Saccharomyces cerevisiae S288C: one gene and its partner. Changing the gene in region 1 together with any one later gene gives a genetic interaction. Each region holds a gene or a part of one and is shown in the gene's direction. Other genes may lie near its edges.

Region 1 (4,078 bases):
GCAGCAGCAGCAGAAGAGGTGGTTTTAGAGGAAGAGATGGAAGACTGGCTTTCACTCGTTTCAACTGCTTGAGCACTGCTGGACAAAACAGTAGAGTCTTTAGTGTAAGAAGAAGGAACAGCAGGACCGACAACGGTATTGGTGGAATCGGCTGTGACTGTTTGACCATTACTGTCGACGTAAACAGTGGAAGTAACTTGAACATATTCAACAGCAACATCCCTCTTGTGCTGATGCTTATGTCTGGAGACAACAGCTTCACCTTCCTTACAGGACTCGATTGATTGTTTCTCTGATCTTTTCTTCAAAGCATTAGATTCACCATTTGGGTAGTAAACACCAAATTGTAGTAACTCGATCGGACCCCTGAAATGAACAGATAGTTCCTCGTTGAAGGGAGCCAAGCTACCAGAAGCAGTGAAATCAGCTTGGGTACAAGCACAAGAAGATTCATCCATATTGGTGACATCTTGGTAGGTAGCAGATAAACCGACGTTAGAGTAAATGATGGCATCGGTTTGAGCACAATAGTAATTACCGCCAGAGTAAGTACAATCAGCGTTCACGAGTGACACAACTGAAGAAAACAAACCGACTAATGCGGTCATGGAAAGCTTTTGTAACATTTTTTTCGTTCAAATTCCGTTAGGTTTTAGATATTTTATGGGGTGTAAATGGAAAAACGAAAAGGTGAGAAAAAGACGTTCTATTGAAGGAGTGACTAGAAGTTGGATAAGTTAGGTTGGTTTGAGTTTTGATTCTGGAGTCTTCTTGCGAGAAAAGAAATAATTATAATATAAAAAAAAATTGAATGGAGATAAGAAGTTTAACTAGCAAAGTTCGAGAGATATAAAAAGTAGAGATGCGAAAATAAAATTAAAACAAATCTGAAAATAATGGAAGTGAAACAAGGCTAAGCAAGAAAATTTTCTATATTGCCAAGACAGGAACGTTTGTGATGAATCACATCTGCATTCGTGGTATATTTAAATGAAAATCCCAAGTTTCGAATTTTCACGTTTGCTGTACGACGAAAAAGCGTGGAAAAATAAACAAAACCAGCACTAAATCGCCAACGAAAAAGGAAAGTCGCCAACGCGAAAAGAAAAGAAAAAGCGAGGCGCAGATCTCGTGGTATGTGATATCGTGTCTAATGACTTGACGTGGCTTTTTTTCTTGTCGCCATCTGCGCTTACTTGCGTTATATCAAATATAATTTCAGCACAGCATTACATGCAGAAATAGCAGGGTGCAGAGGTCGAAGTAGATAGAGGACAACACCTGCGATGGCCGTACAGACACCAAGACAAAGACTGGCTAATGCCAAGTTTAACAAGAATAACGAAAAGTATAGAAAATACGGTAAGAAGAAGGAGGGCAAAACTGAGAAAACCGCACCTGTGATATCCAAAACTTGGTTGGGTATTCTTCTGTTTCTTCTCGTAGGTGGTGGTGTTTTGCAACTAATCAGCTATATCCTATGAAGCAGTGGCAAATTGCATATATAAGTGTACAGTGGAAGCAAGTACGTAAATAAATAAGCGATTTCGAATAATAATAACAACAAGCATAAGGCAGTATTACCCGCGTTGTCATTTATGGATGCGAAAAAAGATGAAGTAATTCAAGTGCTATTGTGATTTACCATGCCAATCAAACGTGCAACAAAGATGAGTATGAGGGGGGACCCAGGCATAGTACACAGAAAAGCTTTGTAGACTGTCTTTGTTTTCTTAATTTTTCAAGTAGGCTTTCTGCTTTTCTTCTGTACTTATCGTATGCTGGGCCGGGCACTAATCAACAAGTATGGATTTTTAATTCATCCTAGGAGATTTGTACATTTAAACGATAAGTCCCTTGATGGAACATTTATACTACCTTCGAAGAAAAATCATATGTATGATGTTCCAACTAATGATCCAAGCGGTATCCTGAATGCCTCGGATATCGATAGAATCAATAATTTGCCATTTTTCGATAACACCAGTCCGACAAAAGAGACAAATACTAAGGAAGGAGCATTGTTGAGCGAAAAATTGGCCAGCGTTAAAGAATTATTTGGAGAAGACCCTGAAAATCCTTCGTTTATCAATTACAGATTCCCCAGAGGTTTAGAGAATCCCTATTTTGACATTCAAGTAAATCAGCTAAAGAAAAAACGATTATCCGTCACACAATTATGCACTACGCAGAATTGGTGCGAGTTAAGGAATTTTTACGACTTTTATTCTCAAAATTTGTCTAACCAACTACTGAACTTAAAATTTCAGGTGCAGAAAGGTAAAAAGATTCATAAATCACTAGAGGACGAAACGCATCCTGAATTAAATCAGTATAAAAGCTTTACCCACAATTTCCTTGCACTGACAAAATTATCTATGGATATTGATAATGATATGGATGCCCTGCTAGATAACTGGTTCAACTCTATCAATAGATTGGTCTCTTTATTCACCAAAGGTGACGGTCATGCAAGAGAAATAGTTTGTCATGGCTTCATTAACTTAGAAGATGGCAAACTGGTGGAGCATTTGCTGAACAGTGATAGCAAGACAAAGGAAAATGTGATTATATCAGGTGTTATTGACCACTTAACTCTTAGAAATAGGCACAATCATCAAGTACAGAAAGGTGCAGCTCATCTTGATACGGAATATCAGAGCTGGGGTAATATCCTCACTAATTTACTATCAAATCTAAAAGAACTGAAGTCGAATAACGAGATTGTTATCTCTGATATCAAAACTAGGTCAGTACCAAAAATACCATCTATTGAGTCCGTTATAGAATCCTCTAAATTACAGACAATGTATTATAAGTTTTTTTTTTCCCACCTTAGTCAAGACATGACACAAACCTACCATAGCTTTTTAATCAATGCCCAGAGAAGAGGACTCGACGTTGATGCGCCCATAAATCCTACCAAGATTTTAACATTCATACTAACAAACCCACTCTTCGCTAATGATGTGAAGAACCTCCTGTACGGACTACCGATAAATCATTCTGCTTTCGATAACGACGCCAAAGGCTCTAATACATTTGATATGACCGCGTTCAATGATTTGCTGGATAGAGGTCCCACATCTTTTAACGTTCCGATTGAGCAAGACGAAGATAGTTCGGAGTCAACAAAATGTGTATCTTTGCGAGATTATGGACATTTTTATACGAAATGGAAGACACCTCTAACTTTGAAATACTTTGCGGCAAGGTTATCACAGATCTATTTTATTGTGGGTAATCTCGTTTCGAATGATTTAATGATAGAATATTATTACCATAACGATAATTTCCACAATATCATCTTCCCATATGATCCCTTGAAACTGGGAACCCATGCCCATGATTCTGCAATGGTTTGGTTTGGTGGCAGAGATATGCATCCAATTGAGCCTACTCAAAAAAACTTCAACACATACTGTAAGTTTTGTGACTACAGACACGTTTGTTCTTGGAAAAATAAAAATGAATTGAAACTTATTGATCTAGGGAAAGAATTAAAAAAAATTATTCTTGAATCAAGTATGAAGTAGTGTAGGTATTGTAACATTATTTATTCTAGTTATTAAAAGGGTGTTGTTTCGTGAATACATTGAAGTCCTTTATTGGGTTATTAAGCACATAAATCTGTTTCTGCTTTCGGACGTCCTGTTTCAATAAATCGGAATTGAAATGACAATTTAATTTAAATGTATATATGCAACTTTCATTAAGAGGTCATTAGGTATTTTAATGCGGCCTTCTCATTCATCGGAACGATGTAATTGCCTTTAGAATTAAAACCCAAAGAGAAACATGTATACACTTACTAACTCTATTATGTTTGGATAGAGCTCCTTGATAATTCAGTTACAAAACAAATTATATGTATATTCAATGCCATTTAAAAAGTATGCATCTACACTTTTTTTTTGCAAATCTTTATCGCTATAACTGTTCCTCTTTTATAACATCAATCAACCAATCTAAACCTTCGGTAATACCTTCGCCTTTAATTGCACTGGATGCTACGATAGACCAACTTCTGTCCTTCAATTCTACAAGATTCAGTTCTTTGGAGACTTCACTGGCACTT
Region 2 (5,095 bases), on another chromosome or scaffold:
CCTGCTCAACTTTAGACTTTAGCATCGAAAATTATGGGTCGTTTAGATAAATAATGAAGTTATTCTAAGCCGCACGTAGTAACAAATCTTGAAGTAAAGGACACCAAAAATTGTATTCCGTGCTGTGGAATGTTGGTGCCAGCATTAATCGAATGGTCCATTTCTTTTCTTACCTTTTTGAAGGAACTGATCCTTCAATTCATATTTTTCACTAACGAAAGAAAATAAAGATTTAGTAGGATACCAAGTACTAAAAGCAAAAAAAGAGTATAGTATTTACATAATCTACATATGTGCAAAGGCTCCTCCTTATTTAGAGAAGAAACTTTCCCTTTCCTTAACCGATGCGGTAATTCAACACGTGAATTTCAGCTATTTTAAGTTTGTTTGGTATTCACAGTTCAGAATATTTCTTTTTGAGTCAGCTCATTTCACGTATTTGCAATGTATGTCATTTAGTTGAGATGATAATGAAAGAGCCCCACGCGCTGGTGCGATCTATGATGAAAAATGTAAATACGAAACTTTACTAAAAATAAATAGGGCAGAATATAGATAAGCAAGAATAGAAAGATCACAGATTTGACTGCACAGTCAAATGAATTCTCTCATCCCTCTTTTAGTGGAAGCATCAACATACATTGTAAGAGGAGAAAGCAGCATCTCAATTGCCATTGGAATAGGGCCTCAAGCTAGCAGGAGTGTGCCGTACCACATTCTTTGCAGGGGATGTGACGGCACGGTAACAACTTTTCGTACGTGGCATACGCAACCACTCGGGCCTTGCAATACAATCATCATAGGCAGAAAAGGTAATGAGACAACCGGCGGCGCAGAACAGAGGAGGCAGCAGCACTTAACGTCTGATTCAGCAACAAAAGCGTCATTGGTGGGTTTTTGTGGGCTGTATTATTATTTCAGGAAATAGTAACTGAACGTGTCAACTTTGCATTAACGCGTTTTTCCTATTTGGGTACGGAGATATTTATGTTTTGATAAGCAAATGCTTCAATTGTGCCGTGCGCATCATCAATCCCACTCACTGAGGAACTCTATAATGAAAAAAAAACAAACAGGCAAAAGCAGATAGACCAATAATTGATATCTGATTTTTCACAAAAAATGCAGGAGAGATCAGCATTAAACGGATCCATCACATCCACCGGACGAATCCGTCTCAAATATGGCAGCCACGCTGGTGTGACACATAATATTACTGCAACACTTCTTATCTCATTATTTTTATCATGGTAAAAGAAGTCAACACTATGCGAGGAATACCAAAAGAAAATTTGGTTCACATCATGGTGTCAGTAAAAGCAACCGACAAAAATCGGGGGGTTGCTGTCCGACGTAGTTTCTTCGTTATAATTTTCAATAATCCCACATTTCGTTGTTAACCTTTTGCAAAAATTGATGTAGTTTGTTTTCCTCTTGGCCCCTGTTGTGGTTACCGAACACGTGAATCGCCATTGCGGTTGTCAATATCAGCCCATTGGGTTTTATGAAGATTCGTAACACCTTCGATTATTTAAGTTTATTCTCTTATCTACAATAATAATAGCGTTCTTTTACAATTGGACGCTGTTATCTTACTTCTGAATGTTCATGGATTGGAAATTTTCAATCATTTCACGAATTATTAGCAATGAAGATAAGTAACATTAAAAAAAATATTGATATCAACTTGCTAGGTTTCTTCTCGCTTCAAAAAAATTTATAAATGGGAATGGAACACTATCCTGTGTAAACTTAAGTCATGTCTCAAGTCAGTTGTTACTTATATTCATTCCTATCGAAACATCCCAAAAAATAATATTTGAAACACTTACAATCATACATTGAACGTCTAAACAACGGCGGCATTTTTTTAATAGCAGAAACGAACATATTAGCTTATTCTACAACTAGTAGGGTTTGTTATACGCAATATTGCTGTTGAATTATTAGAAATTATGAGTGAAACAGTCAAAGATAAAGTTATAATTGATGAGAAGGTATCCACAAAAGGTACTGTTGATTACGCCGAGGGTGCTGAGTATTCTGAGAGGCTTTCAAATCATTCATCAGACTTTTCTCAGTGGTATACGGATGAACAGATACTGCACTTTATGAAGAAGCTGGGTTATGAAAATCGCACTCTTTATGATATTCCGGAAGACGTTGCGTATATCCTCAAAAAAATGCCTGAATTGACACTTGAGGATTCCTTCAAAATACTAAAAGACTCTATCATCTATTTCAAGGATGATGAGAACATTCCACACGATCAATATGAGGAGTGGAAGAGATTGGTTGACTTGGAGGACTTGGATTCAAAAGAGGGGATAGATGAATATGATAGCTTTGACATTAGAGCATTTGCTTCTGCTATTAAATTTCATTCGCCTTACCAAGAGGTTAGAGCTGTTGTTGATCCAGAAGATGATCCCACCATTCCAGTGGAGACATTCCGAGCATATTTTCTGGCAATAATTTGGTCTGTCATCGGTTCAGGATTTAATGAGTTTTTTTCACACAGGGTGGTTTCAATTTCACTGAATACTCCAATTATCCAAATGTTTTTATATATCTGTGGTAAGGCTTGGGCTAAAACTATCCCCTGTTGGACTATAACCATCAGGGGCAGAAAGTATGGTATCAATATCGATAAACCATGGACCCAAAAAGAGCAAATGTTTTCAACCTTGTTATATGCAATTTGTCAAGGCGCGTTCTATACTCATTACAATATTCTAACGCAAAAACTCTTTTACCATTCTGCTTTCTCGTTTGGCTACCAATTTTTACTTTCGTTATCCGTACAATTTATTGGATTTGGATTTGCTGGCATCCTTAGAAAATTCGTTGTTTATCCAGCCCGTGCACTATGGCCAACAGTCATGCCAACTATTGCTATCAACAAGGCACTATTGGGTAAAGAAAAGCATGAATCTGGAATGAGCAGGTATAAATTCTTTTTCTTGACTTTTTTTATCATGTTCATCTATAACTGGTTTCCCACTTACATTATTAATATTCTAAACACTTTCAATTGGATGACCTGGATCAAGCCAAGTAACATTAATCTCGCAAACATCACGGGAGGAGTCACTGGTCTTGGGATTAATCCTATCTCATCTTTTGACTGGAATGTTATTTCGTTTAATTCTCCTTTAGTTTACCCATTTTGGTCATACTTAACACAATATCTTGGTTGCATATTAGCAGCTTTAATTGTTATTGCAGTATACTATAGTAATTATATGAGTTGCCAATACCTGCCAATATTCACAAATTCTTTGTATACTAATACTGGCCATTCCTTTAAAGTTACTGAGGTATTAGACAGTGACAATAAGCTAGATGTGAAAAAATATCAAAGCTACTCGCCACCATACTATAGTGCTGGAAATTTGGTATCATATGGTGCTTTCATTTGCGCATATCCTCTGATGATTACATGGTCGTTTATTGTACACTCAAAGTTATTGTTCAATGCTTTCAAAGATTGGGCTTTGAATTTGTGGGCCATGAGAAAACTTAAATCTTGGGTCACAATGTTCAAAAGCGATTACAGGGCGCTCGACGATTATGATGACCCACATTCTAATGCCATGAAAAACTATAAAGAAGTTCCAGATTGGTGGTATTTTGCCATATTGATAGGTTCACTTGTTGTTGGAATAGCTGTTGTAGAGCACTACCCAACAAATACACCAGTTTGGGGTCTTTTTGTTTGTTTAGGATTTAATTTTGTTTTCTTGATTCCAACTACTATCCTTCAAGCAACCACTGGTTATTCGTTTGGTTTGAATCTACTAATTGAAATGGTGATGGGGTACGCTTTACCAGGTAATCCAATCGCCATAATGATTTTGAAGGCTTTTGGTTATAACATCGACGGCCAAGCAGATAATTACGTTTCTAACTTAAAAATAGCGCATTATTGTAAGATTCCGCCAATGGCGCTATTCAGGGGACAATGTGTTATAGTTTTCATTCAGATATTTGTCAATCTAGGTGTTCTGAATTGGCAAATCTCCAATATCAAAGACTTTTGCACACCTCATCAAAACGCAAAATTCACCTGTCCTGATGCTGTGACCTACTATAATGCTTCCGTTGTCTGGGGTGCAATTGGGCCAAAAAGAATTTTCAATTACATTTATCCAATATTTAAATGGTGTTGGTTGATAGGCGCATGCATTGGCATATTTTTTGGTGTTTGGAAGCGCTGGGGTAAGTTTTATCCCAGATATTTTGACCCAATGTTATTTGTAGGTGGAATGCTTAATATGAGCCCTCCATATAACCTGATGTATTACACTTCTGGTATGATTGTTAGTTACATTTCCCAGTACTACATGAAAAGACACCATTTAAATCTGTGGGAGAAATATAATTATGTTTTATCGGCAGGCTTTTCAACGGGCTTGGTTTTATCAGCTATTATCATTTTCTTTGCTGTCCAATATAAAGACACAGCTTTTAATTGGTGGGGCAATACAGTTCCGTATGCTGGTGCCGATGGCGTTGGCTATCCTCTAAAGAACATAACTGATACAGCAAATGGCTATTTCGGCTATGCTCCAGGACACTATCCATGACTAGAACTTTTCTTAGAACGCTATCATTTCTTTATTTTTTTTTCTCCCCTGCACTTGTCTTTTCTATCAGTCACCTGCATGTATTTAGTTTTTATTCTTCTATCTATAGTACAGAGTTACTTTGATATGTAAAAAGCCATCATTTTGTCTTCATACCTGCCAAAACTATAACAGTACACTCTAGTTCAATATTTTTGACACTTTTCATGCTTCTCGCCTTTTCTCTGTGTATGCGGATGTTATCAATAAAGAAAAATGCTTTGATACCAGAATAGGAACTACATTTTTTTTTGGCTCATCGACGAAGTGATAAGGAGCCTGGCAATTGAAAATCAATCAAGAATATTTTTTGCTTCCAACTACAAGTAATGATGGTGTTTATTTTGCATGAATTTTGGTATTATTGCAGAAATACAAGTGGTAAATAGTTTTGTAAACGTATATTTCAAGTTGGAATGAGATGCGTTGCACTACTGGATAATTACTCCGGTTGAAGCATATTCAAA

What was found. A genetic interaction does not mean that the proteins touch.
Region 2: mutations in EXO5 (region 1) and OPT2 impair growth when combined (synthetic growth defect), as found in Saccharomyces cerevisiae (one large-scale study listed by BioGRID).

Annotation. Positions count from the first base shown.
Region 1 is NC_001134.8:563,945-568,022, forward strand, and holds EXO5 (Exo5p), read left to right. Parts: upstream 1-1,778; coding exon 1,779-3,536; downstream 3,537-4,078. Other genes in the region: TOS1 (Tos1p), read right to left, coding at 1-626; YSY6 (Ysy6p), read left to right, coding at 1,287-1,484; Arf family GTPase ARL1, read right to left, coding at 3,931-4,078. UniProt on the Saccharomyces cerevisiae protein: Single strand DNA specific 5' exonuclease involved in mitochondrial DNA replication and recombination. Releases dinucleotides as main products of catalysis.
Region 2 is NC_001148.4:923,798-928,892, reverse strand, and holds OPT2 (Opt2p), read left to right. Parts: upstream 1-1,955; coding exon 1,956-4,589; downstream 4,590-5,095. Other genes in the region: YPR195C (uncharacterized protein), read left to right, coding at 599-928. UniProt on the Saccharomyces cerevisiae protein: Transports tetra- and pentapeptides. Does not transport glutathione.